3 linked regions of the Saccharomyces cerevisiae S288C genome follow. The protein of the gene in region 1 purifies or fractionates together with the protein of each later gene. This does not show direct contact. Each region holds a gene or a part of one and is shown in the gene's direction. Other genes may lie near its edges. The genes, in order: SNF5, ARP9 and VPS1.

Region 1 (5,147 bases):
GCCGATATTCTATTTTGGGGGTACGCTGTCTTAAGTTTGCCTGTAAGTATTATTGTTGTCTCAGGTGCAATTTACGTTTTACAGTGGGCTAACCCAACTTAATACAACTTTTCATTCCTTTGTATAGAGTCTTCATGAATGAAAGTCTTATTCATTTTTTTTTTTTTTTAGCATAGTTTTATATTCCTTTTTTATTCCAAGACTTATATTCTCATTATATTCTATTTAGTTTCGCATGGAATTTCAAGTACACATATAACTACAGCCTTACTTGAAAATTGCCTGTCTGGGTCTTATACTTTGCACCCTTGTACAGCTTTGTATTTTTGCCAATTGTTAATCCAGATACAATATCGATGGCTTCTACATAGATTCCACTGGCCGATTGTCCTATGTAAGAATATTCTAAGGAGACTGTTTGTAAATCAACTTTTTTTGTAAAATTTGGCCCAGTATTTTCATACTCAATACAGCCACGTAGTACAGGTACCGTTCCAGTGGCAGTTGATTTATCAAAAATCCATTGTCCTTGACCCATGATAATGCTATTTTCAAAACGGCCATGAGTATTGCGCAATATTTTTATCTTATATGCTATTTCATTTGGATCAGCATTCTCAACATTGAACTGTAAATCTATTTTTAGGTCATCAACTTGTGAAACTTTTTTGAAATTTTCAATATTTAAGGATAACTCAAATTCATCAGAATCTTTACCCAATCCATTTTGGAAGTGTAAAGACATCAAGCCAATAGAATTCATCCTTACTCCGGATTGCTTTACTTGAGAACTTAAATCGACGGAATACTCCAGCAATCTGAACTTCCCATCTGGTGGTATAAACGTTATATTAGAGGGAGAAAACACACCATCATTGATTTCAACACAGTCATGCAAACTGGGTATACCTATATCATTTCCCATAGTGTTTAATTTTACTGCAACTAGAGGATTATCATTCAAATAAGATCTCACGTCCACTATTCCATGGATACTTCCAGTGAGCAACCTTAGATGTGATTTTTTCTTTTCAAATACAACATGGAATGTTTCTAACAAATCCACATAAAGCTCATTATTCTCATGTTTGCTAGCCCTTGAAGTTCTCCAGGGAACAATCTCTTCATTTTCGATTAGTGAATTACTACCACGAGAAATCTGATTTTGTTGTAGCTGCTGTTGCCTTTGTTGTGGGAGTTGCACAGCCTGCTGTAAATTATGGGCTGTAGAACTTATGAACTTCGATAAATCCGATCTTTCAGGAACAGCTTCTTTAATTTTATTAACATAGAGCATATCACTCACATTTGGTTCACCCGCTTCGACGCAACAGTTAAAAATCAAACTGATTCTATCATAATTATTAACAATTTTCTTGATACTTAATTTATCCTTGTCAAAATATTCTAACAGGATACGATCTATAGTCTCTAAAAAGGTAAAACAATCAAGCGGGCCTTTTGACTTCGAAGTGGAGGCTAAGCACCAATAATTGAGCTTATTTATAACTGAGAAATACTTATAGACCTCTAAATCTCTTCCAACCATTGAATGGTCTAAATAATCATCACTACTGCTATCTTCGAGCAATTGAGGACATGTGGACTGAACGCGGGTCCACAGGTGCTTGAAGGAGGGAGCTGTTGCACCTAAAAGATACTGGAAAATAAGTTTGTTCTTTGTATCAGTGATATAGAATGACAAATACATCTATTTTGGTTGGGTTGGTAAGGTTTACAGCCTCTGTTGTTGCCCAAGTCCTGTTATCGCCAACTTTAAATAAATCTCTTCTTGTTCTTTGACCAAAAATTTCATTTTTCGTCGCATTTAAAAGAAACTGAAATTTCAAACATAAACACCAAAACAAAGCATCATCAAGGGAACATATAGTAAAGAACTACACAAAAGCAACAATGAATAATCAGCCGCAGGGTACCAACAGCGTTCCAAATAGTATTGGAAATATATTTAGCAACATTGGAACTCCATCTTTTAACATGGCGCAAATTCCGCAACAGCTGTATCAGAGCCTCACACCACAACAATTGCAGATGATTCAGCAACGACACCAACAGTTACTGAGGAGTCGTCTACAACAACAACAACAACAACAACAACAAACTTCACCGCCACCGCAAACGCATCAATCTCCACCCCCTCCTCCGCAACAATCTCAACCCATTGCTAATCAATCAGCGACTTCTACCCCTCCTCCTCCTCCAGCACCACACAACTTACATCCCCAAATTGGTCAAGTGCCCTTAGCTCCAGCGCCTATTAATTTGCCTCCACAAATTGCTCAGTTACCTTTGGCTACACAGCAACAAGTTTTGAACAAGTTGAGGCAGCAGGCCATAGCAAAAAATAATCCACAGGTTGTGAATGCAATTACTGTTGCACAACAACAAGTGCAACGCCAAATTGAGCAGCAAAAGGGACAGCAAACGGCACAAACTCAGCTAGAACAGCAGAGGCAATTGCTGGTTCAGCAGCAACAGCAGCAGCAACTTAGAAACCAAATACAGCGACAACAGCAACAACAGTTTAGGCATCATGTGCAAATACAACAGCAGCAACAAAAGCAACAACAACAGCAGCAGCAGCATCAGCAACAACAACAACAACAACAGCAACAGCAGCAACAGCAACAGCAACAGCAGCAGCAACAACAACAGCAACAACAACAACAACAGCAGCAGCAGCAGCAGCAGCAGCAAGGACAAATACCGCAATCTCAGCAAGTTCCTCAAGTTAGATCCATGAGTGGACAACCTCCCACCAATGTTCAGCCAACTATTGGCCAACTTCCTCAACTTCCAAAATTAAACTTACCCAAGTACCAAACTATTCAATACGATCCACCAGAAACCAAGCTACCATATCCAACCTATTGGTCAGACAAAAAAGCAGATACGGATACTTTGTTGTACGAACAAATTATCCAGCGTGATAAAATTAACAAATATTCGCTAATAAGAGAAACCAATGGTTACGATCCGTTTAGCATTTATGGATTTAGTAATAAAGAGTATATTAGTAGACTGTGGCATACACTGAAGTATTATCAAGATTTGAAGAACACTAGAATGAAATCTATCACAAGCACTTCTCAGAAGATTCCTTCGGCAAGTATTTGGGGAAATGGTTACTCAGGGTATGGTAATGGGATTACGAATACAACTACCAGAGTTATTCCACAAGTAGAAGTTGGAAATAGGAAGCATTACCTAGAGGATAAATTAAAAGTCTATAAACAGGCCATGAATGAGACATCGGAACAGTTAGTTCCCATAAGATTGGAGTTCGATCAAGATCGTGACAGATTCTTCCTCAGGGACACTTTGTTATGGAACAAAAATGACAAGCTTATTAAAATTGAAGACTTTGTGGACGACATGTTGCGAGATTACCGATTTGAGGACGCTACGAGAGAGCAACACATTGATACTATTTGTCAATCTATACAAGAGCAGATTCAGGAGTTTCAAGGAAATCCATATATAGAGTTGAATCAGGACCGTCTAGGCGGTGATGACTTGAGAATTAGAATCAAGCTGGATATTGTCGTGGGACAAAACCAGTTAATCGATCAATTTGAGTGGGACATCTCTAATAGTGATAACTGTCCAGAAGAGTTTGCAGAGTCCATGTGTCAAGAATTAGAACTACCAGGTGAGTTTGTGACTGCCATTGCTCACTCCATAAGAGAGCAAGTTCATATGTATCATAAATCACTGGCACTGTTAGGTTACAATTTTGATGGATCAGCGATAGAAGATGATGACATTAGAAGCAGAATGCTCCCAACGATTACTCTTGATGATGTTTATAGGCCTGCAGCGGAAAGCAAAATTTTTACTCCAAACCTATTACAGATTTCAGCTGCAGAGTTAGAGAGATTGGATAAAGATAAGGACAGAGACACAAGAAGGAAAAGAAGACAAGGTAGATCTAATAGACGTGGTATGCTCGCATTGTCCGGCACATCTGCAAGTAATACATCTATGAACGGCGTTCACAACACAGTAGCAGCAGGAAATGCTTCATCGTTGCCACCAGGAGAGATTTTACTGCCAGATATTGCAGATATTCCAAGAACTTTCAGGACTCCAGTACCTAGCACTTTAATGCCTGGTGGTGTTGACGTAGGCCCTTCTGTGGAATCGTACGAATTGAGAAACACAACCACTTATAAAAGCAGGCCAGATAGACCTAAGCCAGTTTCACCTCCTTGTTATATTATTGACCATATTCCGGGTCATTCGCTACTACTTTCTATTAAACTGCCTGGGAAAGTTAATACAAAAGAAGAGTTCGCAGCAGCGCCCAATGACACAAGTAGTGGCACCAATGCAATGCTTCCGAGTCCAGAATCGCTGAAAACTAAGCTGAATAGTAACATTCGCGCTGGTGTGACGATACCTTCAATCCCAAACCCGATTGCCAATCACACTGTTACTAATTCACCCAATCCCACACTGCAGCCAGTAATCCCAGGTGGGGCAGCTAGTAAATCGGTACCTACACCTAGTCTTCCTATAGCACCTCCAGTAGCACCACATGATAGCGAAGCGACATTGTTGACTAATAGCAATAATGGTAGCAGTAACAATAACACACAGAATACATAGAAAATATATACACATATATAAAATATACCGGAGATGTAAATAACCGTGGAAGAATTTGTATTATCATCGTGTTATACGATGCGGAGTCCCTTTGCGCCTACTTTTTTTAGAAGAATAGTACATAACCTTTATAAAAATCTTCCAATTTAGATACATAAAAAGAGCATGAGAATAACAAGAACACGTAGTCTAGGAAACTAAGCGCTATGCCAGAGCAAGAACTACTTATAGGGCAAGAAATGAATACACTTCATGCAGGTTCATCTACTGATGGCATAAATGTCGGAAACGCAGGACGAACTAGAGACACACAAACTGGCGTAGAAGGGGAAACGGAAATAGGGTCTGACGAGGAAGATAGCATAGAGGACGAGGGAAGCAGCAGTGGAGGAAATAGTACGACAGAAAGACTAGTACCACACCAGCTGAGGGAACAAGCAGCCAGACATATAGGAAAAATAGGAAGACATTTTAATATTCTTGATAGACTTTTTAAGAAACGTACACAACAGTCT
Region 2 (3,598 bases), on another chromosome or scaffold:
ACAAATATGAGAAACCATTGCCATCTCCAGAAGTCACCATGGCTACACAATTTAGAAATTCCACACCCGTCATACGTAATGAGACAAAAGTGGTTGCTAACCCAACATTATCTTTGAGGTCTTCACCCGTCCAGTTACAGAGCAATGTGGATGACTCCGTGTTAAGGCAGAAACCTGATAAACCAAGGCCGATTGTTGGGGAAGAACAACTTAAACCTGATGAAGATTCGAAAAATCCTGATGAAAAAGGTCTAATGGTGCATAAAAGAAATCAATCTCTCAGCTCACCATCAGAATCAAGTTCTTCTAATCCAACGGATTTTAGCCACATCAAAAAGAGACAAAGTATGGAATCTATGACTACATCCGTAAGTTCAATGGCCAATAGTATAGACGACTCACAGAGATTTGCCAAATCATGGAACTCGTCAAATAGGAAAAGAAAATCTATGAGCCATTTGCAAGTACCCTCATCCGCTTCTTCGAGGTCGGATGATGGGGGAAGAACGCCTAACTCTGCGCACAACCTCAATGAAGATGATTATAACACGAGGAGAGATACCAGTACAAGCACAATTTTGTTCAAACCTCCTGTGGCAGTAAGAGGAACGTCTAGGGGGCACACGCATAGACAATCCATGATAATGCAAGATTCAAGTAATCCAATTGAAGATGCCTTGTACGAAATGGAAAGAATCCAAAGTAGTTCTAAACCAGGTACAAAAACAGGAAACATCATGGATGAGAGAGGTGTGGTCAGGGATAGAGGTATTACTGTTACCTTGCCTATTGTCACCAGTGAAGGTTTTCCAGTCATTGAATATGCCAAGGCCATGTATCCATTGATTGGAAATGAGGCACCTGGATTAGCGAATTTCCATAAGGGCGACTATCTGCTAATTACTGAGATTGTTAATAAAGATTGGTATAAAGGTGAAGTTTATGATAATGACCGTATAGATAGAAATCATAGGATAGGATTAATTCCCTATAATTTCATTCAGCTACTGCATCAAGGTCTTTGATCTCGATGTATATCAATTTTACTAGTTTTCTGATAAAAGAAAAAAAGTATAATGTCAGATTTTTGTTAAGTAGAAATAGAAAGATATACGCTGCCGTGGGAGAAGGACACCTCTCCGGATTTGTAACTAAAAATCATAAAATATCACGTCTTTCCTTCATATTTTCAAAAAAAAAAAAAGTTTTCTTTACCATTTTTGACACAATAATCACGATAATTGTTAGGTCAGGCATTCCCTTTCCACTTTTATGTTCATTTGGACGCAATAAGATATACATATTATTTAATGTGCTCTAATGACAGTTCTACTGTGTTTATATCATTAGAGTCACTTGTTACGAATACTACATATTTCCGCGCAGTGGCTAAAAGCAAATTTCAACATTATAAATCTCTAATAGTAAACTGACAATATTGCGGAATTAGAAAAAATGTACCACGCGAAGTTAAGTGTCTTGAACAACTACTATATGCATTGAATATGGCTCCATTTAGGCAGGACAGTATTTTGGTACGTATTTAGTTCATCAATGGATTTTTTAAGTCTTCACGAACAGTTTTTGGTTAATCTTTTATACTAACAACAATTCATAACAGATAATATACCCCAGATCTCAAACTACTCTCGTTCAATTTGGTTTGAATGAAGAAACATTCACTGTACCTGAGCTGGAAATACCAACACAGATTTATCGGACCACGAGACAAGATGGTTCCTACACATATCATTCAACGAACAAGGATAATAAAGCCGAATTAATCAAACCAATCCAAAATGGTGAAATAATAGACATAAGCGCCTTTACACAATTTCTTAGACTAATATTTGTATCTATTTTGTCTGATAGAGCTAATAAAAATCAAGATGCTTTTGAAGCTGAATTATCTAATATTCCTCTTCTACTGATTACGCACCACTCTTGGTCGCAATCGGATCTAGAGATTATTACTCAATATGTCTTCGAAAGTCTTGAGATAAACAATCTAATCCAATTGCCGGCTTCCTTAGCGGCCACTTATTCTATGATTTCGTTGCAGAATTGTTGTATTATTGATGTTGGAACACATCATACAGATATTATTCCTATTGTTGACTATGCACAATTAGACCATCTTGTCTCTTCAATACCAATGGGCGGACAGTCTATTAATGATTCTCTAAAAAAACTACTACCTCAATGGGACGATGATCAGATAGAATCATTGAAAAAATCACCAATTTTTGAGGTGCTCAGTGACGACGCCAAAAAACTATCAAGTTTCGATTTTGGAAACGAAAATGAGGACGAGGATGAAGGAACTTTAAACGTTGCCGAGATTATTACAAGTGGTCGTGATACACGTGAAGTTTTAGAGGAAAGAGAACGTGGTCAAAAAGTCAAAAATGTTAAAAATAGCGACTTGGAATTCAATACTTTTTGGGATGAAAAAGGTAACGAAATTAAAGTTGGTAAGCAAAGATTCCAAGGATGTAATAACCTGATTAAGAATATTTCTAATCGTGTAGGATTGACGTTAGATAACATAGATGATATTAACAAAGCTAAAGCCGTTTGGGAAAATATTATCATCGTCGGTGGCACTACTTCAATTTCAGGTTTTAAAGAAGCTTTACTGGGTCAACTACTGAAAGACCATTTAATTATAGAGCCAGAGGAAGAGAAGTCAAAAAGAGAAGAGGAAGCGAAATCCGTATTACCAGCTGCAACAAAAAAGAAAAGCAAGTTTATGACAAATAGCACCGCATTTGTTCCAACTATAGAATACGTACAGTGTCCTACAGTAATCAAACTGGCTAAATATCCAGATTACTTTCCTGAGTGGAAGAAAAGTGGATATTCAGAGATTATATTCTTGGGTGCCCAAATTGTTTCTAAGCAAATTTTCACTCATCCTAAAGATACATTTTATATCACAAGAGAAAAGTATAATATGAAAGGACCGGCTGCTCTTTGGGACGTGCAATTTTAAGAATACGTGATAGATGCTTCGTGTATCCAAAATCCGTGTGAATATGTGCTGTTTAGTTTTTTCCATCCAATGAGGATGGGAAATATATACATAAACGTTATGTAATATATAGAATTCATGCAAAATTAACAAGGGAAATATCACCTTGGTTGTGTATATGGGACGTTGTTCGACAGAACGGATTGATTTTCACCAGTTCCAATTGATATGATCTTTTCCAAATCAACTTCCTCATTCTCATTTGCACAAGATGACTCGCTTCCGTCTGCTTGAGCGTCCTTTTGTATCCATCTTTTGAACAAGCTTACAAAGAAATTTGCCGTCATGACTTGCTCAACTTGATATAAAACCAAGGGAACCAACAACTTACCCAGGTGTTCTTTTTTATCGCCGTATTGTGAAGTAATTAGTGATACACCCAGTGCTGCAGTTTTAGCCGGGCCACAAAACATAATGCAAATCGCATCTTCCTTTGAATAATAAAAAGGCCTAAAGATATTATACGAATAGCGGTACAATCTTGTAGATTTGCCCTCTATTGGTTCATGAGGGAAAAGCTTGAGGATGAACCATGGCCTTGCACATAAGTATGACAGACCCGTG
Region 3 (4,214 bases), on another chromosome or scaffold:
TTTCTAAATAGAACTTGTATCGAAAGAAAAAATCGTTTTTTTCGAATAAATTGGCCCAGGACTTCTTATTGGAAAAAATATCATTCGTAATTTGAACGCCTCTTACGAATTCCTGTAAAATGACTTTTTTAGTAGATTCCGTGATGTTATGGGTAGCACACATTGATGGATAAGCTGGTGTAATGACGGGCATTCTATGAGACCTGTCTTGGGCATATATCTTTGGATTCCATACACGAACTTGTAACGGGCCATCCTCAATTGGTTTCAAGATAACAGGTTGTGGCCAATTCCATTCCGACAAAATGATGAAAAATCTGTTCAATATAACTGCGCTACAGGCGTTAGGGTATAGTTGACAAATTCTAGCCACTAGCATGGCCCAAGCCACACCACCAGGAAAACCAAAAATATTAGCATAAACAGCCCTTCTTTGGGCCCATAGCTTAATAGCTCTTAAAGCGATTCTGAAAACATTCGGCTTTGGTACCAGTTCTAATATCTCATCTGTTACTCTGGTACCATTCAAAGCTCTCAAGTCCTTCTCGTCTAGATTTCGCAGTAGATTTTTATCTGATAAAGTCAAGGATAAAGGCACTTGAGGTTGGTCTAGACGTGCACAGATTAAATCGATAGAAATACCACTGAACTTTATCTTGATAATCGGGACAAACGCATCAGGTACAGGTGCAATTTCATCCAGTTCCTTCCTCTCTCTCAGTAGTGAATCAAATACCGTAAAAAAATCTTCCCGAGTTACATGTTTTGGAACAACTACCAAAGTATCGATATCACTACCAGGCCCATGGACTCCTAGTCTATAGGACCCATACGTAAAAATCTTCCCACCAGCATCCCTTGCCATCCCGTCTGACATATTTTTCTTCTTCGATACTTCATAAACAAATCTTTGTGCCAATTCCTGCAATATTTTCAACACTTGTACCCTATTGGCAGTTTCTTGCTCTGTTTCGAACGATCCTTCCTTTTTCAGTTCTTGGATTAAACTATCATTTAATTTATTTTCTGCTGCTGTGGCGCCCACGGTGGAAACAGGTCCAGTAATACCAAAAACCTTTTGAGAGCTCATTATTTGTCTAAAAAAAGTTTATGCGTTAAATATTTTGCTAATTCTAGGCCTCTTTTGATTCAAAAAAGACCGTTTAAAGACTTGCTCACAGTGAAATTATTTAGCTAGTTTAGTGTCTTTAAACTTTTGCTAAAACGTTTCACTTGAAAAATCGTTCTAATATCGTCCAGAGGATAGTATGATAGCTTCAGAGAATTCGATAGATACTTGAATCCTCTAATAGTCGAAAAATGCTCGAGGGTAAACCACTTGTGCGCTTGGACTGGCCTAGTTTCCAAAACCAATGTTCTAATGGATTGATTTCTTCCCCAAACATTATTAAGTGGCCGGGTCACCCAAAGACTTGGGCGCCGTTGATTCGCGTCGCTTTGCCATCAAGAGAACAACATATCTTCCAAGACAGACCGAGATAATTCATCTATTTACTCCTAAAAAAGAATTAGAGAGGCCTTTTATAGCACCAAAATAAGGACCGTACGAAAACTGCACATTTTATATTATCAGATATCATGGATGAGCATTTAATTTCTACTATTAACAAGCTTCAGGACGCTTTGGCGCCCTTAGGAGGAGGATCTCAATCTCCTATTGATTTACCACAGATCACTGTTGTCGGTTCCCAGTCGTCAGGAAAGTCGTCCGTTTTGGAGAACATTGTTGGTAGGGATTTCTTGCCAAGAGGTACTGGTATTGTCACCAGGAGACCTTTAGTGTTACAATTGATTAATAGGAGACCAAAAAAGTCAGAACATGCTAAAGTAAACCAAACTGCTAATGAATTGATTGACTTGAACATCAACGATGATGACAAGAAAAAGGATGAATCAGGAAAGCACCAGAACGAGGGACAATCTGAAGACAATAAAGAGGAATGGGGTGAATTTTTGCATTTACCTGGTAAGAAGTTTTATAATTTTGACGAAATTAGAAAGGAAATCGTCAAAGAAACTGACAAAGTGACAGGTGCCAATTCAGGTATTTCTTCTGTGCCCATTAACTTGAGAATTTATTCTCCGCATGTTCTTACTTTGACGTTAGTGGATTTGCCTGGGTTGACGAAGGTTCCCGTAGGTGACCAACCTCCTGATATTGAAAGACAAATTAAGGACATGTTGTTAAAGTATATTTCGAAACCAAACGCTATCATATTATCTGTTAATGCCGCTAACACCGATTTAGCCAACAGCGATGGTTTGAAGCTGGCTAGAGAGGTCGATCCAGAAGGAACGAGAACTATTGGTGTCTTGACAAAAGTCGATTTGATGGATCAAGGTACAGATGTCATAGATATTTTGGCTGGAAGAGTCATTCCTTTGAGATATGGTTATATCCCAGTTATCAATAGAGGTCAAAAGGATATTGAACACAAAAAAACAATCAGAGAAGCCCTTGAAAACGAAAGAAAATTTTTTGAGAACCATCCCTCTTACAGTTCTAAAGCTCATTACTGTGGTACACCATATTTGGCTAAAAAGTTAAACTCAATCTTATTACACCACATTAGGCAAACTCTGCCAGAAATCAAAGCGAAAATCGAAGCCACATTGAAAAAATATCAAAACGAACTTATAAACTTGGGCCCAGAAACTATGGATTCAGCTAGTTCGGTTGTTTTGAGCATGATTACTGATTTTTCCAATGAATATGCCGGTATCTTGGACGGTGAGGCGAAGGAGCTTTCCAGTCAGGAACTTTCTGGTGGTGCTAGAATTTCTTACGTATTCCATGAAACTTTCAAAAATGGTGTAGACTCTTTGGATCCATTCGACCAGATCAAAGATTCTGATATCAGAACCATTATGTACAATAGTTCAGGTTCTGCCCCATCTTTGTTTGTCGGTACCGAAGCTTTTGAAGTTTTAGTTAAACAGCAAATTAGAAGATTTGAAGAACCATCTCTACGTTTAGTTACTCTGGTGTTTGATGAACTTGTTCGTATGCTAAAACAGATTATTTCACAACCAAAGTACTCAAGGTATCCTGCTCTAAGAGAAGCGATTTCTAATCAGTTCATTCAGTTCTTAAAGGATGCTACTATTCCTACGAATGAGTTTGTTGTCGATATCATCAAAGCTGAACAAACTTACATCAATACAGCCCATCCCGACCTTTTGAAGGGTTCTCAAGCAATGGTTATGGTGGAAGAAAAATTACATCCTCGCCAAGTCGCTGTTGACCCAAAGACGGGTAAACCATTACCAACCCAACCATCGTCTAGTAAGGCGCCAGTTATGGAAGAGAAATCAGGATTTTTTGGTGGGTTCTTCTCCACTAAAAACAAGAAGAAATTGGCAGCTTTGGAATCCCCACCTCCTGTTTTAAAAGCTACTGGCCAAATGACAGAGAGGGAAACAATGGAAACAGAAGTAATCAAGTTGTTGATTAGTAGTTATTTCTCTATTGTCAAAAGAACCATTGCCGATATTATACCAAAGGCTTTGATGCTTAAATTGATTGTGAAAAGTAAAACTGATATTCAGAAAGTTTTACTCGAAAAACTTTACGGAAAGCAAGATATTGAAGAATTAACGAAAGAAAACGACATAACCATTCAAAGAAGAAAAGAATGTAAGAAGATGGTCGAGATATTGAGAAACGCTAGTCAAATCGTCTCCTCTGTTTAGGTTTTCCTCATCTATACCGGTCGACTCAAGCTTGGTTTTGAGTATTTCTCCCTAATATTTACTGCAAATCTTATATATTGTTCTTGTATACGTGGAAGCTAGTCTATAAATTATGCTTTTGAAGAATTTCCTATCTCGCATTACGATCCTAGTATCTTTTGTCCAATATGAAGAAGGTCAACATGAGGATGGGAATGATAATTGATAGCATATAATATTATTCTTTTGTCAATACTAGTGTTTAGGATATTTCTACTAATACCTAATACCTCAATGGTCCAATACTAAATAAGGTACTATTCATTGTATTGATTGATTCTGCATTTATCTTTCTCTTGAACCGTAAATATCATTTTCATAAGTCACATGATAAAAACATATTTAAAATTTTAAAAAAATTAATTTTCAAAATAAATTTATTATATTTTTTTAATTACATAATCATAAAAATAAATGTTCATGATTTCCGAACGTATAAAATAAGAATGTTACGAGAATTT

Evidence for each region.
Region 2: the proteins of SNF5 (region 1) and ARP9 purify together in Saccharomyces cerevisiae (affinity purification with mass spectrometry; 5 studies listed by BioGRID, with this or other methods). This does not show direct contact.
Region 3: the proteins of SNF5 (region 1) and VPS1 purify together in Saccharomyces cerevisiae (affinity purification with mass spectrometry, with the first as the bait; 2 studies listed by BioGRID). This does not show direct contact.

The regions. Positions count from the first base shown.
Region 1 is NC_001134.8:777,753-782,899, forward strand, and holds SNF5 (Snf5p), read left to right. Parts: upstream 1-1,914; coding exon 1,915-4,632; downstream 4,633-5,147. Other genes in the region: YBR287W (uncharacterized protein), read left to right, coding at 1-102; APM3 (Apm3p), read right to left, coding at 260-1,711; BSD2 (Bsd2p), read left to right, coding at 4,839-5,147. UniProt on the Saccharomyces cerevisiae protein: Involved in transcriptional activation. Component of the SWI/SNF complex, an ATP-dependent chromatin-remodeling complex, which is required for the positive and negative regulation of gene expression of a large number of genes.
Region 2 is NC_001145.3:336,283-339,880, forward strand, and holds ARP9 (Arp9p), read left to right. Parts: upstream 1-1,505; coding exon 1,506-1,535; intron 1,536-1,621; coding exon 1,622-2,995; downstream 2,996-3,598. Other genes in the region: formin-binding protein HOF1, read left to right, coding at 1-1,025; YMR030W-A (uncharacterized protein), read left to right, coding at 1,031-1,321; RCH1 (Rch1p), read right to left, coding at 3,136-3,598.
Region 3 is NC_001143.9:440,108-444,321, reverse strand, and holds VPS1 (dynamin-like GTPase VPS1), read left to right. Parts: upstream 1-1,599; coding exon 1,600-3,714; downstream 3,715-4,214. Other genes in the region: polynucleotide adenylyltransferase PAP1, read right to left, coding at 1-1,090.